4 linked regions of the Notamacropus eugenii genome follow. The protein of the gene in region 1 interacts with the protein of each later gene in a pairwise test. Links are inferred from orthologs where the notes say so. Each region holds a gene or a part of one and is shown in the gene's direction. Other genes may lie near its edges.

Evidence for each region.
Region 2: the proteins of BYSL (region 1) and NECAB2 interact in binary tests that used the Homo sapiens proteins (3 or more experiments, as listed by UniProt). The two-hybrid records come from large-scale screens. The link is inferred for Notamacropus eugenii from reciprocal best matches to the Homo sapiens genes BYSL and NECAB2.
Region 3: the proteins of BYSL (region 1) and HMBOX1 interact in binary tests that used the Homo sapiens proteins (3 or more experiments, as listed by UniProt). The two-hybrid records come from large-scale screens. The link is inferred for Notamacropus eugenii from reciprocal best matches to the Homo sapiens genes BYSL and HMBOX1.
Region 4: the proteins of BYSL (region 1) and THAP1 interact in binary tests that used the Homo sapiens proteins (3 or more experiments, as listed by UniProt). The two-hybrid records come from large-scale screens. The link is inferred for Notamacropus eugenii from reciprocal best matches to the Homo sapiens genes BYSL and THAP1.

The regions. Positions count from the first base shown.
Region 1 is NC_092873.1:102,944,845-102,952,777, forward strand, and holds the start of BYSL (bystin), read left to right. Parts: upstream 1-4,925; 5' UTR 4,926-5,152; coding exon 5,153-5,420; intron 5,421-7,933. Other genes in the region: MED20 (mediator of RNA polymerase II transcription subunit 20), read right to left, coding at 3,065-3,219, 4,470-4,663. UniProt on the Homo sapiens protein: Required for processing of 20S pre-rRNA precursor and biogenesis of 40S ribosomal subunits. May be required for trophinin-dependent regulation of cell adhesion during implantation of human embryos.
Region 2 is NC_092872.1:697,729,911-697,737,742, forward strand, and holds the start of NECAB2 (N-terminal EF-hand calcium-binding protein 2), read left to right. Parts: upstream 1-4,815; coding exon 4,816-5,046; intron 5,047-7,832. Other genes in the region: OSGIN1 (oxidative stress-induced growth inhibitor 1), read left to right, coding at 1,514-2,462. UniProt on the Homo sapiens protein: May act as a signaling scaffold protein that senses intracellular calcium.
Region 3 is NC_092872.1:608,575,756-608,583,437, forward strand, and holds the start of HMBOX1 (homeobox-containing protein 1), read left to right. Parts: upstream 1-4,670; 5' UTR 4,671-4,742; coding exon 4,743-4,771; intron 4,772-7,682. UniProt on the Homo sapiens protein: Binds directly to 5'-TTAGGG-3' repeats in telomeric DNA. Associates with the telomerase complex at sites of active telomere processing and positively regulates telomere elongation.
Region 4 is NC_092872.1:617,706,159-617,714,012, forward strand, and holds the start of THAP1 (THAP domain-containing protein 1), read left to right. Parts: upstream 1-4,840; 5' UTR 4,841-7,854. UniProt on the Homo sapiens protein: DNA-binding transcription regulator that regulates endothelial cell proliferation and G1/S cell-cycle progression.

The DNA.
Region 1 (7,933 bases):
AAAGGGCATCACATATGTACAGTTTGTATAGTTCATGACCCAACATGACACCTTTGCTATTTACTGTTTTGTAGGGAAGGAGGAAATCCCACAGGCAACATGCTAATAAAAATTGTTGGGTTTTTTTGAGGGGAAGAGGATAGCAAGATCTAAGGATTTAGGCGAACTGCAAACTCAATGTCAAAGTGTGACTTGGCAGTCAAAAAAAATTATCTTCTTTGGATGTATTGAGAGATGTAGATCCTAGGAATGGAGAGATGGGAACAGGGTTATAGTTCAACTGGGGTCTCTCCTCATCAACCCTCATCTAGAACACCGCATTTGGTTACGGGTGCCAAAGTCTGAGAAGGACATTGATAAACATAAAAGCTCCAGAGCAAGGCAACCAGGAAGGTGAAGGGTCCCTAAGTTCATGTTACGTAAAGATCAGTTGAAGAAATTGAGCATGTTTAGCTCAGGAAAGAGAAGGCTCAGGGGGAACAAGGTAACTACATTTAAGAGGCCTGAAGGGCTCTCATGTGTAAGTGGGACTGAAATTTATTCTGTTTGGTCCCAAAGGCAGAATCAAGAACAAAGGATGCAAGTTGTAAAGAGAAAAATTAAGACTTAATATCAGGAAAAACTCCCTCACAATTAGAGTTATCCTTGAAGTGGTACAGGTTATCTCAAGAAGTGGTAGATTTCCCTCCCTCACATGTTGTCAAGCTGAGGTTAAACAACCATTTGTGAGGTGTGTATAGTAGAGATTCCTTTCATGCATCGTTAGATTCTATGGGCCACTGAAGTCCTTTCCAAATCTTAAATTTATGATTTTGGGAGACGAAAATAGAAAAGAGAAGAGAAAAGGCATTATGTTTTAGCGGATAGCAGCCAGCTCTCAAGTCTAGGAAGTCTTACTTCAAGTTCTAACTCGGACACACTACATGAGTTACCATGGACAAGTCACTTACAAGGTCCCAGGCAACTGTTGAAGACTACAAATTACAGACAGGTGACTAATCTGTATCAGCAGTGGGTGCTCTCCACATTAATGAAGTCATAGGTTTGGATTCCTTCCCAAAGTTCATCCTGTGGTTATCCACCTTCTAGTGACAGATCCTCTCTGATATGAGCTAGACTGGAATGGGTATGAAAGACATGCTATCTACCACCAGATGAGTAGTCAAAGCCTTTCTAGTTTGGGAAGACTACCAGAGCTCGGTAGGTTATATTACTGGTTATATTTGCCATGGTTTTTCCTTTAAAATGTTCATTAAAAAAATTAGACAACAATGAAATCAGGTATCTTCATAGTCAAGGCTTAAGAAAATTCCCAATCAAGCAACAGATACAAACAATTACAAAAGATGAAATTGTCACTTTCAATTACATAAAATGTAAAAGCCTTTACATGAACAAAATCAAAGTAACTGAAACAAGAAGGTGAATCATTAATTGGAGAGAAATGCCACATTTAATATCTCTGGATAGAGGTCTGATATCCAAGATCTATATAGGGAACAAAGATATATAGCCACTCCCCAAAACTATTCCCCAATAGATTAAGTGGTTTAAAAATGAGAACAGACTTCAAAAGAATAGCAAACTATTAACCACAAGAAAGATTACTTCAAATAATAAGAGAAATGCAAATGAAAACAACTCTAAGAATCCACCTCATACCCAGCAAATAGGTCAAGATGCCAAAAGATGGGAAAGATCAATGTTGGAGGGGCTTCAGAAAGACCTGGATACTAATACTATATTGGCAGAACTGTGAGTTACTCAATTTCTGGAAAACAATTGAGAATTATGCAAAAAAGGTGTGGGTGCTAAAAAATGTCCATACCTCTTGGTCAAGAGACCCTACAGATAAGCCTATACCACAAGGAGGTCCAAAATGGAAAGTCTCATATTATACCCTAAAATATTCATAACAGAATTTTTTGGAATAGCAAAGAATAAGAAAACAGACACCAATGGACAAACTAGGGTACATGAATGTAACAGATTATTACACTCTAAGAAATGAGAAATATCAAGAATTCAGAGAAGCATGGAAAGAGTTGGAACTGATAGAGAGAACTAGGAATTCATTTTCACTTCCCTCTCATCCTCAGACAAATAGGCAAAATATACACAAAGTTAACAATGTAAACAAAAAGACCAAGACGAAAATAAAAAACATGAAACTAAATGCTATGTAAATTACAGTAACCAAGCTTGGCCCCCAAACATAGCTTCCTCTCCTCTATGTATAAGTAGGAGACTGTGGGCATGGACTATATAAAACGATTAGTGACAGTTCTTTTGCTGAACTGTTTCCCTCCAACATTCTTAAAAATTTTCTTTTTTTCACAAGAGATAGCTTGCTGGGCAGAGGAGAGTGGGTAAGGTTATAATTCAAAATGAAGGCAATATAAAAAGAGATAAAAAAATAAGCTTTAAAAATATTTTAAGTAAGTATCTAGGTTTTGCCTCTCTAGTTCAATTGTGAAGATTATCTTTTCTAAATATCCTTTTACATGTGTATACCACTTAACACTTTTCAAAGCACTTTCATATCTCATTTTATCTCCAAAACAACCTTTTAAACTGTAATTCCCAATATACAGCTGATGGAACAGACAAAAGATTTGTCTAAGCTCACAAAGCAAGTAAGTAGTACAGAAAGGACTACAATTTAAGGTCCCACACCCCCTATTCCTAGTGTGTGGGTCTTTTCATCATTTCTACTTTTGCATTTTAATTCAAACCATTGGTACAGAGTTTCCTTCCCACAGAGTGGACAGTATATTGAGCCTCAGTGAATGGCAAAGGAAGTGGCCAGAGTGATAGTATAGGGAGTTCCAAGACAGGAAACAAACAAACAAAAAGTGTAGAAAGATTTCCTCTTGGTTCTCAACCTTTAGACTGAAAAAAAACACCAAAACTCTTACAACTGAGCGTCAGGAGTTCAGAAATACTAATGAATAGCCTTGAGCAGAAAACTGTCTCAGCCAGAAAGATGTCTAAGGACATTAGCATCTGGAGAATCTACTAAGTCTGAGCAAGGTTCCAGCTGTCCTACTTACCACACACTGACCTTGGCTGCCCATGGTAGAGGCCGCTGTGTGGTAGGTCTCACAGTCCACGCAGAATGTCCCCTGCTTCTCTGCCCCTAGCAGTTCCAACTTCCTGGTCAGGATCTCCACGGTCTGCTGGACACTCTTACCCTCAGCCACAGGCATCTGGGACACACTAGAAGGGTAGTGATGAGCCTTCAGGGTCCACATAGATGTGAACAGGCTCCCCCAGCTTCTCATTCAGCAAAGGAAGCTGGTAGCCCCAGATCCCATCCCAGCCAGAGTCCCATCCCTGCTGGGAGATGCCACTGCTCATATGCGAGAAGCAAAACACTACAGGCAGTCTGTGTGTGGCTTTGGCCCAAATGAGAATTCTCCAGAAAAAGAAAGATAAGGATATCCTAGGGATCACACTAAGCATATCATTCTCCCAATGCAGCAGATGTTTCTCGTTTTCTGCTTTTTACCTAGTTCCCTTTGCTGTCATACACCTTTCCCCTCACCATGCCAAGTCTCAGAAAGAGATTACTGATTGAACTCTGGGGACTACTAGCTGGCAGTCAGTAACTTGCAAGTGCCAAAAATAACTCTAGAAAGGAAAGGTCTTCACAAGCTCTCAGATGTGGCACCAAAAAGTTGTGCCCTTATCTGATACCTTCTTCGGTCAAGAAGCATTTACTAAGCACTACGTGTGAGTTACTGTGCTAAGCGCTAGAGGGATACAAAGGAAAGATAGGGTTGACAATGACCCCTCAGCCCCAGATGTGAAAAGCAGACCACCAGGGCACTGTTTCTCCTTCTCCCTCTTCAACATGATGGGTTTTCCAAGCCGGGCCCAACAGCCTTCAGAAGCTGGCTCCTTTCTCCCCCTTTCAGTGCCAGGGATAATGCTCCCTCCCGCCATCCCGGGAGGATGGTGATCAAACTCTGGTCAGGCAGGAGATCCCGTCCCCCTGGTCCAGCTCTACTGCGGGGTGTCTCGGGCTGGAGGTCGGGCGAAGGAAGAGGAGAAGCTGAAGCCTGCCACTCAGTGACCTCCAGGGCTTCCTCCCGCCCTTCGCCTTCCCCTAAGAACAGGGAACTGCCTTAAAGTCTCCCAGAATCTCTAAAAACCTACAATTAAAAAAAAAAACCTACAAAACCCAAGCGTAAACTTCCCCCCAACACACCCACACCCCCACCAGGCCTGCAGCGCCCCCAAAGCGGGGACGGGTTGAGAGCTGGTAGATGGAAGGGCCTGACTCACACCCGAGCCCAGGCATCCCGCCCCCACCCACTCATCCCAACAAGACCGGGAAAGGAGAAGGGTCGGGAGGAGGCCTCTGCGGGGACGCAGCGCCTTCTCCGTACTCCCTCGCGGTCCGGCCCGGGTGCCCAAGGAACTCTGAGACCTCCCCCCTCCACGTGCAACATTCGCGGCCCTACCATGTCACCCCCATGCTTCCAGGTCGCACGGGAGTGTGTACGTTGGAGGAATCCGACGCCGCGGCCTCGCCTCTCCCTCCGCTCTCCCGCAGGAAGCCCCACTTCCAGGCCTTGGTGGGAGGTGGACGGAAAGACTGTAGGGGAGAGAGAAGGGGGAGGGGAGGAGGAAAAAGAGGAATCCGGAAGTGATGCATTAAGTCGGGCCTCGGAAGTGACGTATAAATAAAGCGTCTCAAAGAGAGCACCAGCCGCGGAGTTGCCAGGACTTGGGCGATCACCCCGACTAGGAGCTCCGCCCACTTTCCCCACCCTAGAGTAAGGCGGGAGGTTTCTAGGAATTGACTCGCGACCTAAATACTCATCTCTGGAAGACAGAACAAATCCAAACCAGGGCTACAGCTACAGTGGGCAACTACGAGTCCAATTCACATAACGCGAGCCGTCGTACGGCGGGGGCCCCGGGAGGGGCCTGGTGACGTCTAACTTCAGGGGGCGGGGCCGGTAGGGGGGGCACCGGAAGCTGAGTTTCCGGCCTCCGATCGCTGGGAGGCGCTGTGTTCCGCCAATGGAGCTTGTCTTCTAAATCTGGGAGGTGCAGAGAATGACGCGCTGCTTGGCGCCGGCGCAGTCCATATTCCTGCCAGTTCCCCACGTGTGTTTCAGAGGAAGGGGTGGTGGAGACCATGCCCAAGATCAAGTCGTCCCGTAAGGCCGGAGGGCAGGCAAAGCATGCCCCTCTGGCGGACCAGATCCTGGCAGGGGACTCCGTACGGCCCGGAAGCCGGGAGAAACGGAGGGACCGAGGCCGCGGGACGGAGGAAGAAGAAGAGTACGTGGGGCCCCGGCTGACCCGGCGGATCCTACAGCAGGCGCGAGAGCAGCAGGAGGAGCTAGAAGCTGAACATGGCTCGGGTGACCAGACAGCGCCGAGAAAGCCCACCACGCGGCTGGGTTAGTGAGGGGGTCGAAAGGGTCCTGCGGGAAATAGGGGAGGGGGAGGAGCCGAGAAACTGAAGGCGGAGCTTCAGGGAAACTTGTGGGTTAGTTACCTTGAAAGCACACTCGCTAATCTTCCACCTCTCCCTGTATACTAGCTGCTTTCTTACTGCCTACAAACATGCACGCGTCTCCCTTATCCTCAAAAAACCCCCACTTGAGCCTTCCATCCCCCCCTCCATCCGACTATATCTGACTCCCTCTCTTCTGCAGAATTTGAGCAGTCTGTTTACAATAGGTGCTAACTTCCAATTAACCTTCCTCTCATTCAATTCTTTGCAATCTGCCTTCTGATCTCATCATTCTACGGGCCCTGATCCCTCCAAGGTACCAGTTATTTCTTACTTTGCAAATCTCTACAGCTTTTGACACTGGGTCGACCTCCCTCTTCTTCCTAATACTCTATTTTCTATGGGGTTTTGTGACACTACTGTCTTGATTATGTCCTGGTTCAGGGTTGGGGAACCTGCGGCTTCTAGGCTTCTAGGTCCTTGGGTGTGGCGTTTTGACTCAGTCCAAGTTTTACAGAGCAGATCTTTTTATTAAAGGGATTTATTCTGTGAAGTTTGGATTCAGTCAAAGGGCTGCACTTGAGGACCTAGAGGGTCACATGTGGCTTCGACGCCGCAGGTTTCCCACCCCTGTCCTGGTTCTTTTCTGCCTGACAGTTCTTTTGCTGTCTCCTTTGCTGGACATTCATCCAGGTGAAGCCATCTATTTGTGAGTGTGCCCAAAAACCCTGAACTGTTCTGTCTTATTCTTCTCTATTACTTTATTTGGTGATCTCATCAGTCTCTGTTGATTCAATTATAGTCTCTTATCATACATATGATTCTTATAGAGTTTTTTATCCATCTCCAACTGACTATTAGACATCTTGGTTGGTATATCCCATAGACTCCTCAAAGTCATTATATCCAAACCAGAACTTGTTAGCTTTCCTCTAAAACCCTAACTTTTCTATTACTGTCAGGAACCTAAGAGTCATACTGTACTCTCTTCATTCTTTCTCATCCCACTATTTCCAGTCAGTTGGCAGGTCCTGTGGATTCCATCTTTGTAGAAACTTCTGTATGTTCCCTTTTTTCCTCTTGACACTACTACCCTCCTGGTACAGACCCTTATCACCTCATCCTTGTCTATTGTGTAACCAAGTCACTCCCCAGGTCAGTCCGTCCTCCACCAGAGGTGTCAAACTGTTCTTCCTAAAGTTCAGATCTCATCATGTAATTGTGCATTTAGTAAACTTCAGTGGGTCTTTTATCTCCAGGATCAAATATAAATCCTATTCAGCTTTTAAAGCCTTTCATAACCTGACCCCTTCCTACCTTTGCAGTCTTTTAATATTTTACTGTCTTCCACATACTCTACCATCCAAGGATTCTGGTCTTCTTGCTGTTCCTTGACCAAGACACTCCATATCTCTACTCATCTTTTCATTGACTCTCCCCCTTGCCTATAATTTTCTCCCTCACCTCTGCCCTCCTGGCTTCCTCAGCTTCCTTCAGGTTTCAACTGAAAATCCCACCTTCTGCAAGAAGCTTTTCCCAATTCCCCCTAAAGCCTTCCTGTTGTCTTCCCATTAGATTGAGTTCCTTGGAAGTGTCTAATGTTTTTGCCTTTGTATACCTAGTGCTTAGCACATAGTCTAACACATAGATGACACTTAATAAATGATCATTAACTGGTGACTCAGGCATGGAGGCGCATAGGCCATGAGAGGGAGAGGGAACCCAAACAATGATGTTCATTCATTTTCCTTTCCATCTCAGTAGACTTCTCAGAATTTTGCACCTGCATAGGATCTTAGAGGACATCTGATAAGGGAAAAGTGTCAAACATAGCATTTTTATTTGTTTGTTTACATCTATTGTTTAGTTATCCTTTTCTCACTTTTCAGCCCAGACCTCTCTGCTGCTTTTACTACTACTACTGACCACCCTCTCCTCCTGGATAGTCTCTCTTCTTTAGGTTTTCAGACAGTTTGTTCTCTTGCTTCTCCTACTTCTCTGACTCCTTTGCTGGTTTATAATCCATAATCACACTACTTAACTGTAGTTATACCCCAGTAGTATGCTGGTAAATGTTTAACAATCAGCTCTTCCACATGCTTTTAAGCTTAATCTTCATAATTAAGTTTTCTTCATATCTTAAATCTAAATAATCAGCAAAAAAGTAAATCAAGCTCTCATTAGTAGCATTTGCCATTTTCCAAGGTATAAATCCTTACATTGAAAATCTAACAGTCCCAAGAATAGTTGGGGCTGGCTCCAGTACATCCCTAGTGTACCCCAAGACTATATCCTGACTATGATCAAATTTTGTGATCAAAATTACCTGTGCCTGTTCACTTAAGCGTTAGCTGAAATAAAGTGAAAATATCTCTATAGAGCAGACAAAGCATTTTTATACATTTACTATGTGCCAGGTACACAAATGACTCCTAAATCTCTTTATCTGACTCCAGT
Region 2 (7,832 bases), on another chromosome or scaffold:
CCCCCTTTCCTTATGTATAAAATAAAGCAGTGGGACTCATAGCCTTCCATTTCTAAATATGTGGTTCTGATTCCTTTCTACTTACAGTCTCCTCATAGATCCTGAGATGAAGTCAAATTTTTTTTGCATGCTCTTTATTTTTTTCATTGTTGTCACTCTCCAGTGATCACTCCTCCACAAAAGTAGAACCCTGCCTTCTAACAAAGAAGGTCAGTTAAGGAAAAGCAGATCAGCATGTTGGCCAATCTGGCAAGTGCATGTCCCCTCCCCAGTGAGAGGCAGGAGGGGCATGCTTTAGCAAGACTGCAAAAAGGACATTTTACTAAAGAGCTAAGGGGACAAGTGATTTATGGGAAAGAGCCTGGAGACTCAGGTCATGGGTCTACTCCTTCATCTCTAAAGTGAAGAGACTGGACTAAATGAGTGCTCAAATCCCTTCCAGTACTGGCATTCCATGATCCTTAAAACATAGCCACCCACACACCTCCCAGCCCCACAACAGAAGAATAAGCTTACAAAAATGTAGTTTACAAAAATTACTCAAAACTTGTAGTCTGAGTTTGCTCAGAGTTCAAGCCCTAGGTTATGTTGGCCAACACAACTTATGGGGCCCCAACCTTTCATTCTTTACCCTTACCTAAACTCTGTCTAGAGTGTCCTCCCCTTCAACCTTTGCCCCACCCCCATTTTTTGCCCTTGGCTATTTCCCCTTCCAACACTCTCCTGTTATAATCTCTATCCCCTCAAGGAGAAGGGAATGGATGGAAATTCTCATCACATACCCCAATCTGGATGGACTATAGTTAATAGCCCATTTATATTGGGGCAGCTAGGTGACTAGAGTGCTGGACTTGGAGTCGAGAAGACTTGAATTCAAATCCAGCCTCAGACATTTACTAGCTGTATAACTCTGGCCAAGTCACTTAACTTTGTCTGCCTCAGTTTCATTATCTGGAAAATGAACTAGAAAATGGTAAATCACTCCAGTATCTTTGCCAAGAAAACCCCAGATGGGGTCACAAAGTGTTAAACATGATTGAACAACAAAAGCTTTATATGGAAAATATATTTATATTATATTACATAATATTTATAAAATATATTTGTATAGAGCTTTAAGGTTTGCAAAGTACTTTTACAAATATTATTTCACCTTATCTTCACAATAAGCCCAGGAAGTAGGTAGGTACTATTATTACCTCCATTTTACAGATGAGGAAACTGAGACAGAGAGAGGTTGTGTCTCACCCAGGGTCATACAGATAGTAAATGTCCCTGACACAGATACAAGTCCTGAGGCAGCATTTGAACTCAGGTTTTCTGGACTCCAGCACTCTTGTCCTCAAAGAAGCTAATGGACCGGTCCCTTTGGAAAAGCAATTATAACAGATGAGTAACTAGACATAGTAGGAAGTTGTAGGCCAGGCTTTTCTGTATTTTCTGAAGGGTACAAGGTTTCATGTGCCTACCTAGTTCAGATCCCTGAGACTGACCTCTGCGTTTCCTCATACAGGGGACTGCGGGACAGCCGGGCCACAGCTGGAGACATCGCCCATTATTACCAGGATTATGTGGTGAAGAAGGGACTGAGCCACAACTTCTTCTGTGGAACTGTGGTCACAGCTGTGGACATTGGGAGCACGGAGTCAGGAGAGACCAGGAGCCAGCAAGATGGGAGCCCCCTGTTCGTGGTGAGTGGCTTTATGACCTCCACAGATGGGAGCCAGCAGCCTTTCAGATTCCGTGCGCGCAATGTAGTCCTGGCCACAGGGACATCAGACAACCCAGCCCGGCTGGGCATTGTTGGAGAGGATCTCCCCTACGTTCATTATGACCTGTCTGCCTTAGAAGAGGCCATGAAGGCTGGGGATGTAACCCCCACATCTGACCCCGTGCTCATCGTTGGGGCCGGGCTCTCAGCAGCTGATGCCATCCTGTATGCACGACGCTACAACCTCCCAGTGATCCATGCATTCCGCCGGCCTGTGGATGACCCTGGTCTCATCTTCAACCAACTCCCCAAGACAATGTACCCAGAGTACCAAAAAGTACACCAGATGATGCGGGAGAAATCTGTCCGCTCCTCCACTCGCTACAAAGGCTACTTGAGCCTGCCAAAACATCAGCCCCTGCTCTTCCAGGAGGACCATGAGGCTGTGTTCCATGATCAGAACGGGGAACACAGGGTATTCAGGGTCTCCCTTGTGCTGGTCCTCATCGGCTCCTACCCTGACCTCTCATTCCTGGCCCATGGTGGCACTGACCTCACTGTGGACCCAGACCAACCACTCAGCCCCAAGAGGAACCCCATTGAGGTTGACCCCTTCACCTACCAGAGCACCCGGCAGAGGCGCCTCTATGCCATGGGGCCCCTGGTGGGAGACAACTTTGTGAGATTTGTGCAGGGAGGGGCATTGGCTGTAGCTAGCTCCCTGCTAAAAGAAAATAGGAAGCCCCCCTAGGACTACCCCTGCCCACCCTCCATGCCCCCAACCTCACAGCCCCAGCTCAGACAAGGAAGGAGACCTGCTCAGTCCTGCCTGGTATAGTGACTGGGACTCAGACATGAGCCTGGACCCCAACATGGGCCTCCCCTAAAGAGATGTCTCCCTGTAGGGAGACTGTGTATGTATATAAACGGGGGAAATGGGAAGGGCGGTGATTCTAAAGACCAGTTCCTTGTTAATAGACCAAAATGTCAAGGCTGCCCAAAGGTCTGACCCATGCCCTGGGAAAAGTACAGTTTGTGGGTCTGGCTGAACCAGGGTCTGAGAAGTTTATTTAGTGCTGACCAGCTCAAAATTTCCTGAACCCAAACTGGAGATTTCCAGGCTTCTGGAACTTCAGGCTCCCAAGGCCCCAAAACCTGGGCCAATGAGCAACACTGATGGTAGAACTCAGCCCTAGGAAGTTAGGGGCCTCAGCTCTTCCCCAGAATTACATCTTGAATAAACCAAAAGGCTGCCAAAATATGTTCTTGAAGAGTTTGTCTTTGTGATGTTCCAGCTTGTCCTTGTGTGGCGATCCAACCACCTCAAGTTGAGGCTGTGTTGTCCAAATCTCTGACCATGTCTGAGTAAAAGGCTGGAGTCCTAAGGATGGAGCCTGTGAATGGGCAAGTGGGAAACTGACAAGATGTGGGGGGAGGGAGAGAAGGGGTAGGCTCATAACATTCCGTGACTCTTCCCTGTCCCTCCCCCTCTCCCCTATCATTTGCCAGATTATGTCAGTTTACCTCCAGAACATCTTGGACCCTCTATTCACTCAGCTTCAACCCCAGCTCAAGACCTTACCACCTGCAACATCCTTCTGTTTGGCCCTCTTGCTTCTAGTCTCTCCCTTCTTGGTGGGGCCATCTCTAGTTGTCCTGATCTATATCTTGCCACTGGATCCAGATGGCTCTAGAGGAGAACATGAGGCTAGTGACCTTGCACAGCCCTGCCTCATTTAAATCCACTTCAGTTACATGTCATGGCTTTATCTTCCTAATGTCACGATCCTCTTCGAAAACAAGGGAAAACAACCTCTCCCCTTTCCAATCCCTCGTCCCCGAAGCTATCCCATGGATGACGATATTCCTAAAACACAAATCTGACCCTGTCATCTGCCTCCTCAAAAATCCTCAGTGGCTCCCAACCTAGAATTTGAGACCCATGACAACATGGCTCTCAACCATTTCCAGTCTGTCTTCCATTTTACTCTCACAATCCTAGGCCCAATCAAACTAGCTGTTCCCCACATACAACCCTCTCCTACCTCCATCCCTTTCCCCAAGTGCTGTCTCAAGTCTAGAATACTGTCCTCCTTCACCAGTGCCCCTTTCAGGTGTCGCCTGCTACATGAAATCATATCTGTTTCCCCCTTATTAGCATTCTCACTCTTGAAATTAGTTTGTATGCATCTTGTATTAACCTTTATTTATCCATGCTGTATTTCCTCAGAATATAAGCTCCTTGAGGACAGACTTTTTTTTTTCTTTTCGTAAAAAGCAGATGTTTGTTGACTTAAATTTTATTGAATGAGAGAGAGAGAGAGGGAATCAAAGTCTGGGGGAACTGGATGTGACGGGATGTTAGAGGCAATGCTCAGGTCCCTGGGAAGGGTGTGAGGGAAGGATGCTCCAGGAGCCCCAAGAGTCCTGTGAAAGAGAGTTCTGTGGCTTTTGCCGGCAGAGGGAGTGCCTGACTTAGGGAAACTCTTCTTTACTCGCCTGTCCCTGCAAGCCGAAGGACCAGAGACAGCGAAAGATGCTGGGAAGAATCGATGTGCTGGAGGCCTCAGGGGCTCTCCTAGGCTGGACTCCATCCCTTCCTAGATGCTGAGTCCCAGAGGCCCTGGCCAGCGCAGCCCACCCTTCCTCTCTCAGTTCAGGCTCAGCCCGGACCGGCGACTTCACGGATTCCAGATGCCCTAATACGTCCCCCAGTTATCCCCTCTGGAAGCAGCCCCTATCCCTACCGCACCCTCATCATCCCCAGAAATAAGAGGAAGGGAGGGAGGACGTTAGGGGTCCTGGGGAGTTGGGGTCCCAAGATGGACGGGGATGGAGGCTCAGGCCCGGCTCCAGCGCCCCCCTGCCGGGCGATGTGGTCCTGTCCGCCCCCCAGCCTGGGTCCCGCGTCCCGAGTCCCGCATCCCACGCGGTGTCCGGGGGGGCGGGGTCTGCAGCGCCGGCGCCGCCCGGAGCGGGCTGGGAGAGGTGGCCACGCGTGGGCGAGCGGGCGCTGGAGCCGGGGGCGGGGGTCGGGCCGGCGGTGGTGGCGGCGGCTCCGGCGGGAGGGAGGCGGGAGGCGGGAGGCGGGCGCTGCGCGAGCGATGTGTGAGCGGGCGGCGCGCCTCTGCAGGGCCGGCGCGCACAGACTGCTCCGGGAGCCGCCGCCGCAGGGCCGGGCGCTGGGGGGGCTGCTCCGCTGGGTGGGAGCCAGGATGGGCGAACCCCGGGAGCCGCTGGCCGACGGGCCGGGGGCCGGGACTGGCCACGGGCTCTGTCCCACCCCGCCGACGGCCCCGTCCCCGCCCCGGAGGGGCACCTCGGTCATCCTGGACGTGAGTAGCACCGGACCCTGTCCGGAGCCCCTCCCCGGCCCGGACTTCTGCCCCCTCCTCCTCGCACCCCCTCCCCAAAGCTTTCTTCCTCTCCTCCACCTCTCCCCATCCCTACACTGTCTCCCCTACGGTCTCAGCATCTCTGATCTCCGCACGATCTTAGTTCCCCCTTCTCAGCCATCCCTAGCCCCCTGCTTCCCGGTCTCCCATCCTTAGGGATCCCCATGAAAGCTTCTCCTTCTCCCAGGGACTCTCTCCCCTCCCTTTTCTCCGTAAATCAGATCCTGCTCCCTTTCGCATCCCGAGGGATCCTCATTTCCCACCCCATCCCATTTTCCTGCCTCTCCACCCCCATCCCACCACCACCCTCTCCTCCTCTCCCAAGACAGAGCCCCGAGCGTTTCCCCAGTCCTAGACTTCTCTGAATCTGCAGCCCTTCCCTGCACCCAGACATCCTCACTGGGACAGTCCCTTCCCTAAATCCTGCCGCTTTCCTCAATACTCTCCCTAGCCCAGTCCCTCTCCAGAGTTCCTCCTCCTAGTAGGACTCTCTGACCCCCCACCCCCAGTCTCCCTTCTTCTCCTAGGACCTGGTTCCGCACCTTGAACACCTCCCCTCTACAGCCCCAGCTTTGGGGATCTGTTTAGATGGGGTCGCGTTTAAGGGGGTGATTGGGGAATGCTGAGTCCAGGTGGTTTGGTTCATTCAGTGTAGACTTGATGGTTACGGGGCGGGGTCGAGGGGGTAGATTTCTGGGGTCCCCTTTCCTTCCCAACTAAATGGGGCTCAGACTCACGCTCTTTCTTCCCAGCAGTGGTGGATGTATGTGTACAGAAAGTGTGCATCTGTTTGGGGAGGAGGAAGGGATGAGATGTTTCTATGAGAAAGATCGAACTCAGAACTTCCTCACCTTTTAAGGGTCACTTCCGAATTTCCTTTCAGAGTCATGGAGGAGAAGTTCTGAGTATCCCCTAGTTGACCGGACCCTGCAAGACCCTGCATTTATAAAAAGAGTTTGGATTGGATGACTTATGGGATTCTAGTCTCTAAGATTCTACTTGAATCAGACTACGCTTCTGTTTCCTTACATATTAGAAAGGGGACGGGCTCTTATCCTTTATCTCTTACCCTAACCCCCTCCTCAGAAATCAGATATCGACGGATAGCAAATGATTTTCAATCTGGTAACAAGAGACTACTCAAGGAATGAGGAATCTAAGGGCAAAAACCATCCAGGCAGAAAATCATGGGAGGAAAATACACAGATCCCACTATGTTGCTCTTAGACAATTTGTCACTTGAAGATCTAGGTGGTGGTGGTGGTGGTAGTAGTAGTAATAACTCACATTTCTTTAACATTTAGAGAGTGTTTTCCCACAACTCTGTCAGTTAGAGCAAGTATTAATATCTCTGATGAGGAAACTGAGGTTCTCAGCAGGGAAATTATTTGCCAATATCACACAAGTATTAGAGCTGGGATTAGAATGCAGGGTCTTTCTATTGTATCATTCCGCCAGCCCTTCCCCCCACCCTTTGAACCCTGGTTCATCATTGTGTGGCCTTTGTTTCTCTTCTAGACTCTCCCAGGTCCTATGGGAGGACCCCACTGGCAGCTCACCCAGTCACAGAGATAGTAGGTCCTATGTATCTGAGTCTCCAGTCTTTTGCCTATTCTCAAAAGACTGCTTGGTGTATGCCAGCACCTTCACTGCTTCTAAATATCTGACATCGAAATCAAAGTGATCCCCAATGCACAGAAATTTGGGACCCTAGTTATTCTACCCTCAGCCCCACTTATCACCAAGTGCCAGAAGAGGAATAATTAGAATTGGGTCATTCTGATGTTTAGTACTTGGAACCAGAGAAACTATTTGCTCAACTGGGTCAGGGAAGGCTTTATTCAACCCAGGTTTTAGAGAGGGAGAAAAAGAAAAAAATAGCTCTGACCCTCCTTCTAACAGCACATAGTAGGGGCTTAATAAAGGATAGTGGACTGACTCACTGACTCTTACCCCCAAAACAATCTTCTCAGGATGCCCCACTACTAAGGGCAGCTTAATTGCTGCTAGGTGATAGAGCACCAGATCTGCAGTCAGGAAGACGAGTTCAAATCCTAACCCAGGTGCTTATTATCTATGTCACTTCTGCTCTATCTGCCTCAGTTTCTTCCTCTGCAAAATGGGGATGATAATAATACTAGCACCTACCTCATGGGATGGTTGTGAGGATCAGGTGAAACAATGTCTGAAAAATGCTTTGCAAACCTTAAAACACTTTGTGTAAACTAGAGACCCCCTCCCCCAACTTGCTGGCTTACATCTTGTTGAAATGGCCTCCCCAAAGTCTGACCTGGTCCCTGGGAGAACTGGGGGCTCCTGAAATTTCTGCCTCATGTCCTCTGGTACCCAGAGGAGAATCCATCCTTTGGACACTTGAATGTGAGGGTGTGTGTGGCTGTGTGTGCTTATATAACTCTATAAATTCCTTCTAGCTCAAAATTCTATGATCCGTTTGTGTGTATGTGTGTGTGTGTGTGTGTGTGTGTGTGTGTGTGTGTGTGTGTGTGTCTCCAAGCGTGGAACACAGGCCGTACAGATAAGGCAGAGCACAGGGATGCCCTCATGCATAGGCACAATAGAAAATCCTTTCTGTAGTTTGAGTCAAAGGGGATACCACAACTAAAATAATTCCCCTACCTACCTTCCACAGGTGGGTGTCTGAAAATCCACCTTTGATACTTATTCCTTGGGATTTCTTCCAGGATTCTCTTTTTAATTAAAATAGA
Region 3 (7,682 bases), on another chromosome or scaffold:
TAGATGGTTATGCACTCAGTGCAGCCTCTCAGACTGAAATGCAATAGAGTATGGATCGATTCTCTCCTACTTTTTCTAATTTTGACCTCCTGACACTTAATACCAATAATATATAGGTTCCTCACCAGCTAACACTATACTATCTCTTTGTGGAACTGTTAGTTATAACAAATGGAGAAATTTTGAATGATAAGTTCACTTACCTTGGCAGTTTACTTTCCACGGGTCCACGTAGATTATGAGGTTGACACATGCAATGCCAGAGCTAGCTCAGTGTTTAGGAGGCTCTAAAAGAAAGTGTGGGAGAGAAGAGGTATTAGACTGCTTACCAAACTGAATATCTACAGAACCATTGTGCTGATCTCATTAATGCATCCCTGTGAAACCTGGACAGTATACCAGCATCATGCCAGGAAAATGAATTACTTCCATTTGAATTGTCTTAGGAATATTATGAGCATCACCTGGCAGGATAAGGTACAGGACATTGAGATCCTTTCTCAAAGTGAACTGTCAAGCATTCAAACTACTGCAGAGAAGGCAGCTCTCATGGGCTGACCACATTTTTCAAATGCCAAGCGTATTTTTGCCTAAAAGACCATTTTACAGAGAACCCACAAGGCAAGCACTGACATGGAGGTCAGAAATGTTGATACAAGGATACTCTCAATGTCTCTCTGAAGAACTTTGGAATTGATTGTGAGACATGGGTGTCACTGGCATAGGACTGTTTAGTGTGGCATGCCCACATCAAAGAAGGCACTGAGCTTTGTGATCAAAGCAGAATTGCAATAGCTCAAAAAAACTTGAGTTGTGCAAATTTAGAGCTGTCTTCATCTGAAATGTTCACAACTATTTGTACCTGACCTGTGGTAGACCTTTCCCAAATTGTATTAGTCTTATCAACCACAGTTGGACACATTATACTTTGACCCTAGCACAGTAATGCCATTTTGGTCCTCTTCAACCAGGAGGGACAACAACAAACCAACCTGCTTTCTGAAGATTAGCCTGTTGAAATGCAAAGGTTCATTACTAGTAGATTGACTATTTGGTGATGAATTATTTGGCAGTGAATGAAACAAATAAAAATACAAAGTTATTCTCAGTCTTTTATGATGCCCTTTTTTTCTCTAGTGAGTAACATTGTCAAAGTGTCAGAAAAGGGAATATTCCACAAGGCTTTGTCCTGCAGCATCTTCTTTCTATTTTGCTTGGTGAGCGTATCAACTCCCTTAGATTCAGTTATCTTTTTGCAGATAATTTTTATATCTGTTTACCCAGCTCTAACCTTTCTCTTGACCTTCAGGCTTGTATCTTGAACTATTGGACATCTCGAAACATATGATCTGTAGAAATCTTAAATTCACCCTGTCCAAAACTGAATTTTTTTTGTTTGCTTTTTTTTTCCAAACTCTTTTCTTCCTCACTTTCCCACTTATTACCACCCAGGCTTGAAAGATGGGTGTTTTCTTTGACTCCTTGCTCCTTCTCTCACTTCCATATCAAATCTGTTGCCTAGTCTTGTCATTTACACTTTCATTTTTTTGATTGCCCCAGGTACCAGCCCTCATCTTCTCATTCCTAGACTATTACAGCAGATTGTTGGTTGGTCTCCCTGACTCAAACCTTGCCCTCCTCTAGTGTGTTCTCCACTCAGATGTCAAAATGATTTTCCTAAAGTGCATATCTAATCATGTTACCCTTCCATCCTCCCATTCACTAAACTCCATTCTTTCCCCATTACCTTCAGAATCAAATATAAAATCCTGAGTTTGGCTTTTAAAGCCCTTCATACTTTATAACCTGTTCCCCACCTATCTTTTTAGTCTTCTTATACTTTATTCCCCATCACATACTTTTTAAAACTGATCTCCTCAATATTCTTTGCACAGGACCCTCAGTCTTCCTGGTTATGAGTGTTTTCAATGACTGTCTTCAAATGCCTGGAACTCTTTCTCTCCTCATCTCCACCTCCTAGTTTCCTTTGCTTGTATCAATTCCCAGCTAAAGTCTTGCTTTTAAAAAGAAGCCTTTCAAAGAATTGAACATTAAGGGGATGCCCATCAATTGACTGAGCAATTTGTGGTATGTGAATATAATGGAATATTGTTGTTCTTTTAAGAAATGATGAGCAAGTAGATCTCAGAAAAACCTGGAAAGATTTACATAAACTGATGGCTGAATGAGAAGAGAAAACCAGGAGAATATTGTACTCAATAATAGCAATATTATGCAGTCATGAATAATGATAGACTTAGCTCTTCTCAGCAATACAATGATCCAGGACAATTCCCAAGGGCTCCTGGTGCAGGATTCTGTCCACATCCAGAGAGGGGTGTATATAATCTCAATATAGCTTGAAACATACTATTCCAACTTTTTTTTTTCTTGTGGTTTTTCCATTCTAATTCTTCTTTCATGGCCTGGCTAATGTGGAACTGTGTTTAACATGATTGTACATGTGTAACCTGTATCAGATTGCTTACTGTCTTGGGCAGGAGGGAGAAAGGAAAGGGAGGGAGAAAAATTTGAAACTCAAAGTCTTGCAAAGATGAATGTTGGAAGCTGTCTTTACATGTAATTGGAAAAAAATGAAATGTTAAATACAAAAAAAATAAAAATAAAAAGAAGCCTTTCCATTCCTCCTCAGTGAGAGAACCTTCCCTCTAAAATTATCTCCAAATTATTCTGTAAATATCTTGTTTGCACTTAGTTCTTTACAGATTGTTTCCTCAAATAGAATTAAAATTTCTTGAGAGCTTAATAAATGCTTGTTGACTTTACAGAAAGTTCTGCAAATCACACAGTTTTCAGATAGTTTTTAAGCATTAATTTATGTAAATGTTGATACTTTATATCTTCTTTTCTAATGACTGGAAAGTAGATCTATTATTAAAGGAACCAAGTTGCATCAATCTTAATATTATTATATTAAATCTGAATCTGTCAATTAAAAAAACATTTATTCAGTATCTACTGTGTGCCATGTACTCTGCTGGGTGGTAGAATTAATCAAAATGAAATTAAAGTTAAATGAAAGAATTCTTCAGGCTGTTCTTGGAGAATCAGATAAAGCAGGTGGTGGAGTTGAGTGTGTTATTCATCCAAAGGCAGTGAGAAACATTCTTTCCTGGGACATTTGGTCATCTTGTACTACGTTGGCAGTGAACGTTTATTAAGCACTGTTGTGAGCAGAAACAAAGAGAAAACCAGACCCAGCATTCAAGTAGCTTATTTTCTAATGGAGGAAGACAACACAATGAAAGAACCTGAAAAGTGGTAGAGGAGAAGATATCCACATTTGAGCACAGTGCCCAGGTCCAGAGTCAGAAATATAGCCAGGAGGGGAATAAAGTATGACTGACCTCAGCCTATACCCAATGTAGGGAGCCACAGAAGGAACTCACCAATGGGAAAAGAAGATGTAAAGTTGTTTGAGATTGAGAAGGTGAAGGAGTCCTTGTGGTAAACTCTGGAAAGTTAGAAGCATAGTGACAAATATTTGTCAAAAGGCCACCCGCAGGTTATGTGTCATATCATTTGCAGAGAATGAAAAGGTAGAGAAATTTTGCAAAGATTTGATAAGGTACTCCACATTAAATTAATATGTATATACTTGGATGCTCAGTGATTGTTTTAAATAAATTTTATTTATTCAGTCAGCAAAAATCTGTCTTCTCCTTGCTCTTCCTACGTATCTCCCAATTGAGAAGGAAAGAAACATAAAATTACAAACATATTACATTACAAGCAAAACAAATTTCCATATTTCATGTTATATCTATCTATCTGCTTTTCTGTCCATCCATTCATCTGTTATGTATGTCTTTCTATCTGTCTGTTCATCCACCTAGCATTTTACCTTTCTTTCAGGAGATAAGTAGCATGTTTTATCATAAATCCTCTGGTTTTATGGTTGGTCAGTATTCTGATCAAAACTCATCTAATACTTAAAAATTGTTTATCTTTGCAATATTATTACATAAATTGTCCTCCCTTTTTTGCTCACTTTACTCTGCATCATTTTACACAATTCTTCCCAGATTTCTCTGCAACTATGTCAGTCATAATTTCTTATAGCACAATAGGATCCTGTCACATCTGTATACCTTAACTTATTGAACTATTCCTTAATTGATGGGTACCCTCTCAGATTCCAATTTTTTGCCACTTCAAAAAGAGCCAGAACTTTTGTATTGGTTTTTCTTAGGACTGTTCCTTTCCTTAATCTACTCTCCCTCTAATCTCTCTTCTTCCCTTTCCCTCCTATTTTCCTGGGAGGAAAAAGTGAGGCCAAAGACTTTGCACAGCCTTCCCTCCCTTAAATCTTATTCACTTGCTTGTCATGGCATCACCTTCCTCTTTGAGAACATGGTCCTCTTTGAGAACAAAGGGCAAACAGCATCAATCTATTTTACAGAATGAAGGTATTTCTACACCTAACTGTACATGTTCTTTCCTTCTGTGACCAGTTCAGATGAAGATGAGTTCACTTTTGACACTAACACATTCAAGTGTCACCTACTCTGCCCACTTTCCTTTCATTAGTTTAGACTTCTGCTTGCTCATTTTTATTGAAATAATTTTACCTAACCTTTATTTTTCTTCCCTCTCTAGTGTATTCTTCCTTTATATTTTCATTCTTCTCAAGATTATCAAGACAATAACAGGACCACTCCCAGGCCTTCTGTCTAATTATGACTCCCTCTGTGACCTGATCATGATAGACTTCAGAGGGGATGTGTGTGTCATCTCCCCATATTAGAATGTAAGCTGTTTAATTCTTATTTAGTCTTTTATGATTGTTCATGTTTATCTCTCACAAGTTTCATAAAGGACTATAAGACTTTCCAGTTTGATAAGATGTGGAAGATGCATTTAATGACCTGAAGAATCAGTTAATCACAGCACCTATATTGATATAATTGTACCCACAGAAGCAGTTCATAACTGCTTATGAAGCATTCATCTTTATTGTTGTGGCCTGTGAAAAGATGACCCTGTCAGATTTGTTTCATATCCGTGCATTGCTCCCTTAGAAGAAGGAGCTCCTCAGACCAGTACTTAACATTTGGAGGCATAATTTTGGGGTTTTCTTGCTTTTTTAAAAAAATAATAATTCATTTTTTCCTAATACATATAAAAAGAATTTTGAACATTCATTTTTTTAAAAATTTGAGTTCCATATTCTCCTTCTTTCCTCTCCCCTCCCTGTAAGGTGGTAAGCAATTTGATATAAGTTATATATAAAGGAGAAAAATAAGAGTTTGTAAGCTGTATGCCATTGAACTTGACTTTTTTTCCTAGCATAATTCTAGAAGATATTATTAATTTAATTCAATAAGTATTTATTAAGGGCATGCCATGTGACAGGTAGCATAATAGGCACAAAGGAGTCAAGAACAAAAAAAAGAGACAATCTGATTTCACAGAGCTTATATTTTACTTGGGTACACAGTCAGCACACAGGTTGTGTTTGTCCTTCGTTTTCGAAGAGGACCAAGAATCAGAGAAATGATGACATGACTAGCACTTGACTTTGTTTTTAGTGAGGGAGGGCTGTGCAAGGTCACCAACCTCACTTTCTTCTCCTGAGCCATCTGGATCCAGTGACCAGATATGCATCAGGATGACTGGAGATGGCCCAGGATGCAATGGGAGACCTTGGCCTCTTTGACCTTGGGCCTATTCAGGTACTCATTTAGGCCCATATAGTGAATAGGCCTGTTTAAGTAGTCAGGGAGTGGACCCTTTAATGAGCAAAAGAAAAATAACTAAATCAAGTTGAAAGGGAAGGGAAACAGTTACAAAAATACACAAATAAGTAAATATAAGATGCATGTGACACAAAAGTAAATTAAATTTGAGTGAGCAACACACTAAGAACTAGGAGATTCAGAAAAAGCGTCTTGAAATATTAACTAACTATAAAAGGAAAATGCTATCAATAATTAAGAAAGCTTTAGCTCAAGAGAATATATCTGTTATACAACATGGAATCTGTATTTGATTCAGGAGTTAGTTTTTAAGAACTGTATGAGCTTTCTGCCTGAATTGGTGTCGCAGAACTATTACTAAGGAATAGCAGTTTCTGTTTATCCTTCGTCCTTAAAGAGGATCAATGGCATCAGAGAAATTGATGTCCTCTTGCACATGAACTGCATCTGAGTGAGGCAGAGCTGCACCAAAGTTGTCAGCTTCACGTCTTCAGTCATTGAAGTCCAGTGGCAAGGCAAAGGTCAAGACAACTGGCTGCCCAAGAATCTTGTAGTGGGTGACCTTGGCCTTTCTAAGTTAAGATCTTTCCCAGGTCTCAGTTTGTCTGAGGTCACGCCCATTCAATGGCTAAGGACTAGGTAAGAGTTGGACAAAAGATGGCACACCTATGGAATAAGTGGTATCTGTCTGATCTCTACCTTAAAAAAACACTGGAAAAGGCCAAACAAAAATTTTAAATAAATTTTAAACACATTCCGAAGTAGTTAAAATGATAGTTTGTACAATCATGACCAGGATTTCTGTATGTATATTTACAGTACCAACAACCTTAGAACTCAGTGAACATCTAGACAAAGATGCAGAGTTCAGTTAGCATTATAGAGAACCAATCAAGGTGTACACTGGAAGTATGGAATCCTAGCTCCCTTGACAGCTACTCGAAGATTAGAGAAGTGCCAGACCTAGTAGTGATCAGAAATTGAAGGAGAAAACACAGTAGGTTCTCCAACAACATCACAGATTCAAACCACAGGCAACTTGACTAGGAGAGGAAACCTGAAACCTAGTCCCTTAGAGCAGAAGAGGGGACTGCCTTCCTGATCAGATAAGAACAACCAGTGTCAAATAAGGTTACCAAAGTCCTGCTGCAAGTGGCCAGAGCCAAGCTTTAAGAAAAAGTTCCAATGTGGAATTTTCAGGTAAGGTGGAAGAATGAGTGAACAAAATCCGAAAAAGAACCATGATGATGTCCCAGGGATGCCCAAGATATGAGCTGAAAAGAAGAAAATATTTCCAAATGATCTACAAGTAAAGTCTCCAAGTAAAACAGTATCTTGGCTACACAACCAATTAGAATTCCAAGAAGAAAAAGTTTAAGAGGTGGTTTTTGTTGTTGTTGTTTTTTTAAAGGGAAAGGTTAAACTTTCATTATAAATTTAAAAAACACTAACAGAAAGAACTGGAAAAGAAATGAGAGCTATGGAAGAGATTTGGAAAGAGAATTTATAGCTTAGCTCAAGAGGTATAGAAGTTTATCCAAGTAACAGACAGATTCATTGAAAATTAAGATAAATCATACAGAAATTAGACTACATAAGTAAACTAAAACAAAACCAAGTTTAAAAAATACCAGAAAATATAAGGCATTTTAAATTAAAAAACTCAACTGTAAAATAGGAGAAGGTAGAGATAATTTGGAATTCATTGGATTACATGAAAATCATGACCAAAATCAATCTATTTCAAGAGAGAATGAAAGAACTCTGTATCGGCAGAGTTAAAAATAGAATCCATTGAACATCTGAAAGAAACCCCCAGATGAAAATTACCAGGCATGTTACAACCAAATCAGAACTTATGAATCACAGAAAAAAATATTCCTAGCATCTAGGAAGAAAGAATTGAAATAACAAAGGAGAAGACTATATAGAACATAGTATCCCAAAAGACAAAAGATATAT
Region 4 (7,854 bases), on another chromosome or scaffold:
TTAATGAGCTTTGTCACAGTAACAGTATGAAGGGACAGCTAGTTCCTAATTTATCAGTGATGATAGATAATGAAAACTATTAACCTTACTGGTAAACATTTATTGAGCCCCTACTGTGTGTAATACTGTCCTTGGCATCAAGAGGGAAATAATCAGAAAATCTTATCTGTAATTCATTCAGATACAGACATCAACTTGGTACTGACTCTAAAATGTCAATAATGATGACTTTATTTCAGCTTTTTCTGTGCTGGAGGACAATAACTGGCTATTGATGTCTACAGTAGATACAAAAATGATATGAAAGGTGACATACCATATTGTATTTAGGTAAGAAGGATTTGGGGATTTATCATTTGGAGCAAAAGACCAGAATATATCTCTGGATATATTTCTTCATTTCTGTGGGATAATTTAGGTGTGAATCTCAAGCAGAAAATGGACTAGATACTTTCTCACTATTGTTTATAAAACCTTAATCCCTACAGTGACTCATCATAAAAGGGAAGAATAGCAGCTATGAGAATTTTTGCTATACCTACATTTACTCAACTGAGGGATTCTGGAATCCTTCAAGTCAAGGATAAACCTTACTTAGGGTACAAAATTGAATTATCCTGTGGAAAAAGGAAATTTTCAGTATGTATGTTCTACCTACACTACCCACTATTACAATTCTGATAAACATTGATTTTATTTTAATATGCTGGATAAAGGTATTTTTTTATCACAATTTGTAGCATTTTAAGAATTGTAATATTTGAAACCACATCAAGTTAAAAAAGGACATTTTAAAATTTATGGACCGTCTTAAGTTCATTGCATTCAATTCTGGCAATGGATATAAAGAGATTTTAAATTTAATGTATTTAAACCAAGTAAAGTACTTCACTTTTTAATCAGTGTTTGAATTCAGCTATAACTCCCATGATCCAAGGTAAAAAATCACACAAATCAAAGTGATTTATACAGAGTGCCCCCAGGAGTATATAGTAAATTGATCAATTATCTGGGGAGTCTAGACGGTTGCCCAGACTCCGTCCGTTGGTCAGATGTCACAAGCACCACAGTTTCTGGCTTTTCAGTGGTGAATCTTCGTCACTGCAACAAGAACACAAAAGTAACCTGAATCCCTTATTACTATGTGGAATCTACCTCACAGTTGTTGTTATGGAGAAATAATACTTGAGTTTAAGCTTTGAATTTATGTGCAAGTAATTTGCTCTTTCAAATAAAAGCAGCCTATCTCAAATGTTTGTTCTGCTATTACTTCTGTAATGGATGTGCTCAGAAATTTTTAAGACAGGCGTGGAATGGTACCATGAAATGGTATTCGATGTAACTGTTGTTCCTGCTTCATTTATTACTAATGTGTATTAAGCATCCCATTGTACCTATAATTTACTATATTAATTTTTGCCATGTGCCAAAAAAAATTGAAAAATGAGTGTGGTATCTCTTACTAATTGGTTCTACATTCATAGGCTTTTATATTTTATTTGCTCCCCCTTTGAAAACTACAGGCCTCCTGACTCTAAGTCATGTGTAAGTTTTGAAGAAAAATAAGCCAACTTTCATGCTTAGCCATGGCTCCAAACTCAAATGTGTGAAAGCTTAAGTGCTTTTTCATTTCTTATTTGTATTTGTCATATTTGTCACAACTAATAAAACTAGCAGACTGGACAATTAGCATATAACACCATGATTTTCTTACACAGGACTTTTTGCCTTTGCCCATTTAACTTGTGCTTTTTCTTCCTTGTCTAGGAAAATGAATTTCCCTTTTGACTCTGTTTATTCATGTTTAACTTTTAAATTTTCTCAGAATTTTCTGAAAACTATCTGCTCTGAATGTTCGCTGTTCTTATTTGCATGTATCTTTTTGCTCCCTAGAATACTACGTAAGTAGGTACTTTAAGTCCTTTATGATATTTAGTCATAATCAGATTGCCTTTTCAAGAAAAGTCTAATTATTACATTTCTTGCCTTTGGTTCCTTTTTTGTGATCAGAATTGAGCCTTTTTCCCAAACAGGTCAACAAAGCATATATTCTTCGACTAACACCATCCTTATACCTTGGTCTACCACAAAGGCAGAGCCAGGACAGAATAATATGTCTCTCTGGGGAATACTCAATATTAATTAATAAGCACCACCCTCCCACTCTAGTGATGATGTTTTAGCTTACAAACTGTTCTACAGATAAGATTGAATCTTTTAAAAATGAAATTGAAAAAAAGAGAACCAGTAATTACTTGAAAGCAACATGACATCTGATATCTTAAATTATTTTTACTTTTAAAAACAAGTATTTAAAAATGCCCTTTTATATCCATACTAAAATAAGAATTCTTTGTCCAAGCACTAATTTTCTATATGACTGATTAATTAGCTGGCTCTGATCAATAAGAACAGCTCAGTTTTATATCATTATAGTTAATAAACCAAATTAGCATTTCCACCCAATGTTGCACTTTCTATAAAAATAGAACTCTTAAAAATGTCAGAAAGAGCTAATGCTTCTGATCTGATTTGGGAATATGCCATGTCAACTAGTTCTTTTTATTTGTTTTTAGTTTAAAACATTCACTTTTATAAGATTTTGAGTCCTAAATTCTCCCCCTCCCTTACCCTCAACTAGTTCTTTTTAAGAAACTATTTTGTAAGGCCTGTAAAACTAGTATTACCATTCCCTACCCCCTTCATAAATCCTTATCATATATCATAAAAACTCACTTGCATGTCATGGTATTACCTCCCTGACAGGTGGGCAACACAGGTTATTTGCTTTCCTCTTCCTCTCCTTTCCTTCCTTCCTTTTCTTTATTCTCCCTCCACATAGGGTATCATACACTTACCTGCCAGTGCTCTGCCCAAAGGGAATGTAAGTTTTACTCTCTGAAGCTTTGTTTTTTTTTCTCTTAATAAAAGAGCATCCTTAACTCCAAATCACTGTAGTCCTAGACCAAACCTTACTTGGTCTCAGTTTGGGCCCTGATTGGCTCAAAATGAATGAAAATAACAATCGTTTCTGTTTTGGTGAAAAACCTTGAGGGTCTTCCCGTCTCAGATCCTTTTTTTTTTTTTTTTTAAAGAGGCCATTCTTTGCCTCATTTTTTATTAAGTTTTAATCACTGAATGCACGATGCTCAAGTCAAATTGAGACCTATTAAACTTAGCTTGAAAAGGCCAAAGACCCCCACTGCATCCTGGGCCATCTCCAGTTGTGCTGATCCATATCTGGCCACTGGACCCTGATGCCTCTGGAGGAGGAATTGAGGCTGGTGACTTTGCACAGCCCTCCCTCACTTAAATCCATTTCACTTGCACATCATGGCGTCTCCTCCTTGATGTCATGGTCCTCTTGGAGAACAAGGACAAACAGCAGGTAGCATAAATTCTAAATCAGCTACATAGCATTTCAAGGTTTTTAAAGTTGTTTACATAACATTATTTCATTTATCTTCAAAATTCTGTGAGATAGAAGCTATTTTTATCTAATTTTACAGAAGAGAAAAATGAGAATGTGGGGGTTAGAGGGAAGGGAGAAGTAAAAAATAATACTGTGGTTTACAGCCTAAAACACCAAGAAATGGAGACCATTAACAGAAAGAGGCAAGTCAGGTTTTAAGCAAGAGGCCAATGATGATGATAGCTCACATTTTTAGAGTGCTTTATTTAACAAAGCACTTTCTTTATAACAATCTTGTTGTGAATTACTAGCCCCACCCCCATTTTACAGAGGATACAACAGAGATGTAAGGAGCATAACTTGCTCAGAATCACTGGGACAGAAAAGTGGCAGTGGCAGAACTCAGATCCAGATCTTTCAGCTTCAAGGCCAGTAACCAAATTATCACACCAGGCTGCCAGACAAATCACCTTCCCCCAGCATAGAATACTCAGAAGTGAGTGTAAGTCATTGTATTTGAAATGGGAAGACACTAGGGTATAGGTCAGAGGTTTTTAATCTTTTTGGTATCATGAACCCCTTTTGGCAATCTGGTGAAGTCTATGGACCCCTTAGCAGAATAATGTTTTTAAATACGTAAACCATATAAGATCACAAAGGAAATCCAATGATATTTAAAAATAAATTCATAGACCCCAAGTTAAGGGTCCCTATGTATTATAATAGTACAGGTGGGTGATAACTATGTCCTAATCTTAGGTTTTGTCATTCATATTCATTGGTTTGCCACGTCTTCTCCTTTAACCCTCCATAAAATCTATGCCCCTCTTTCCACACAGTCACCACCCTAATTCAGCCCTTTGTAACTCCCTATTTCCAGCCATTCCTATCTGCCATCTCTCCTTCATTTCCCACTTGGCTGCTGTCCTGAATGATCTCCAGAAACTCATCGTTCTGCAAGAAGAATTCAACTCTGAAACTCACACTTCCCCATAACCCTGTGGCTCCGGTATGCCTCCCCATGGAGAGGATGGAGGACAGACCCTGGAGAGCTCCTTCATCTTTGAAGAAGGGCATCCAGGGAATTCACCTCATTGTTTCCCAACGGTGCTCTCCAGTACTTCCTGACCTCCAGAAACTCATCATTCTGCAAAATGAATTCCACTCTGCAACTCACATCTCCTGAGATCATTTCCCATTCCCCACCCCCCCCTCCCCCATTAGACTGAGTTTCTTGAGGGAAGCAAACTGTTCCATGCCTTTCTTTGAATTCCCATTGCTAAGCAGTGTCGAGCACATTGTTGGCCTTAATAAATGTTTAGTGACTATTGACACAGCTGCCAGAATCCCTCCTGCCTCTAAGATAAAATATAAACTCTTCCGCCTTATCTTTCCAGCCTTATTTTGTTACTCCTTTCCTGAGCTCCACATTCGTATTAAACAGGGCTGCAGTTCCTGGAACCTCTCCTCCAATCTGGGCATTCAAAGACATAAACCCATGCCTGAGTTCACTCCCATCATATCTCCACATCTAAGAATCCCTTCTTCCAAGGCTTAACTAAATGTGCCCCTTGAGTGAAGCCTTGCACTTCCATAATTGTATTTGTTAATGTTCTCCTCAAATTACCTTTGTGACTGACTTCTCTGTGAACGCTGACACATCCATCAGTATAACAGGTAAGTCTTTTAAGGGAAAGTCATTTTTGACTCTCCAAAAATTAGCCCAGTACCTTTCACAGAGAAGAAGCTTCATAGATACTTGGTGAATTCGTTTGGTTAAGGGTTAGAATGCTGCTTAGAACCACTTTTGAAAGATCCTTCCATTTACTCTACATTCAGAGAAATGGTTTATCTCCCCTTCCTAAATATTACTTCCTTTCCCTTATGTTAATTTTTTAATACTTCAGAAGGGCCATCATTTCCTCCCTCTGGGTACTTCAGTCTACCAATGCATATAACAGCCCTTCCAAAACTTAGCACTGTCTTGGGCTGCAATAGCACCAATCCCCTTCCAATCACATGCTAGGTATTGGAGTTTATTCTAAATCTTTCCAATTTAGCAGGCCCAGCCAAAAACTGTGCTCCATTGGTATGCTATTAAAAACCCTAGGGTTACTTCCACATAATGAATGATGAGGCTTTAGAGTAAAATTTCCAAGAGAAATGTTAACATTCTCTAAGGCTAATGTTCTCTAATATTAGCATTCTCTTTTTGGGGGGGGGGGAAGGGAGGCAAGCAATTGGGGTCAAGTGACTTGCCCAGGGTCACACTGCTGGTAAGTGTCTGAGGCTCTGGATTTGAACTCAGGTCCTCCTGACACCAAGGCCAGTGCTCTATCCACTGAGCCACCTAGCTGCTCCTTAAATTGTAATCTCAGCTTTTCCTCCTGTGACTGGTACGAAGCCCTGCACACAAAAAGTGTTTAATAAATATTTTGAAATATATATGAGGCAGTACATCATTAAGAAGTGGGATAAAGTCATATGCCCTCTGTAAAGTCTGAGGATTAGCAAATTTCAAGTAAGAGTTTTTAAGGAGGTGTATAAACTTTTTAAAAACATGTTTGGATAAGTATTTCAAAATAATTGGTTTTTTTGGTAATACTATGCATTTTATTAATTTAAAAACACTTTTTTGAGAAGTCCAGTTAGGCAACTAGGTAGCACAGTGAAAACTGGATGTGGAGCCAGGAAGATGTGAGTTCAAGTCAGACCTTGGACACCAGCTGTGTGACCCTGAACAAGTCACTTAATGTCTGCCTCAGTTCCCTTATTTGCAAAATGGGGAACACAAAGAGTTCATAAACATTTATTAAAACCTACTCTTTGTGAATTATCGAATTACTAATTACCTAAGACTTTAGTAATTTATTGAGAATACAAAGAAAAGTAAAAGACTGTGAAATATTAAAACAACCTATGTTCAAACAAGTTACATACAGAATAAATTGTAAATAATAGAGAGGAGGGCACTAGAATTAAAGAGGATGGGAGAAAGCTTCCTACAGAAGGATCTTTGGTGGGACTTGGAGGAAGCCAGGAGAGAGAGCATTCCAGGCACGGAGGACAGCCAACGAAAATATGCAGTTATCTTCTCCAACGGACAGCAGCAATATGAAAATACTCTGCGTGACTGAACACGTTTAATCTATACATACATACACTGCTTGCCTTCTGAAGGAAGGGGGGGGTGAGGAAGGGAGGGATGGAATTTGGAACTCAAAAATTATAAAAAAGAATGCTAACGTTTTTACGTGCAACAGAGAAAAAAATCCAACATTCTATTTTTAAAAAAAAGCAACAAGGAGGAGGTCAAGTAAGAAGACTGAAAAAATGGGGTAGGGGCCAGGGAGAGGAATGTCATAAAGAGCTTTCAATTCCAAGTTGAGGATTTTGTATCTAATCCTGGAGATGATGAAGAGCTGGAGGGGTGTCTGTGTGGGACATACACCTGCTTGGTTTCTGTTTTAAATCTAGTTAGATTTAATAGCACCCACCGACCCCTCGGGGTTGCTGTGAGGATGAAGTTAGATGTTGGCCAAGTACTTTGCAAATTCTTAATTATTATTATTTCACCAGAGTACTAAAAGGGCCCATGACATAAAAAATAATTAGGAACCACTGTTCTAAAAAAGGCACCTACAGAGCTTGGTTCAAATTATTAGTCGCCTCCCTCTTCCCCGCCCCCCAGAAGCGGAGCTATCGCCGATGAATCGATCCGCGATATTGTGAGCAGCAGTTTCGGCCCGCCCCTCCTCGAGAGGCAGGACTCGGGGCGAGACCTCTAAGCACCTTCCAGCCCTGTCTTTACAGAATTCTTCTAGGAAAACCTTGCCCAAAGGCCGATCAAGGCATTCCCTATCCTTCATAAGGTGAGGGCCGAGCGCTTGCTACACCTCTATCGATTTCAAGGACTCCAAGCGCTGCCTCTCCCAAGAAAACAGGGCTTGTAGGCGGGGCTTGTGATTTCTCCGCCCCCTGCGCCCGCCTCGCTCCGCCCCTCGTGACTTTCAATCCCCCGCCCGCTCCCACGACGGGCCCCTCCCCTCAAGCCAAGCCTCAACCCGGCCTTCCAGAAATAAACTCGGGCTTCGCCGCCGCGAACTTCGCAGGCTCCGCCCCATTCCGCCAACTCCGTAGGCTCCGCCCCATTCCCCCATGGCCTCCCAGGGGGAGGGAAGGGCCGGTCGAATCAGCTCTGCGCGAAGGTGTCGGGACTCCGCCTGTTGCCCGCATCCAACTGAACGTTACCTCGGGTCGACAAGCCAATCAGAGCCGACGCCCGCAGCTCCTCGCGAGAGGTGAGGTTGAAGCTGCCTCCGCCATCTTGGAGATGGGAGCAGACGGGCGATGGCTGCGATCCTGCTAATGCAAACAACAATACAGGCGTATTAAAAGCGTCCTGGAGTGAGCCGAACTTTCTCCGCTTCGGTCGGCTGGCT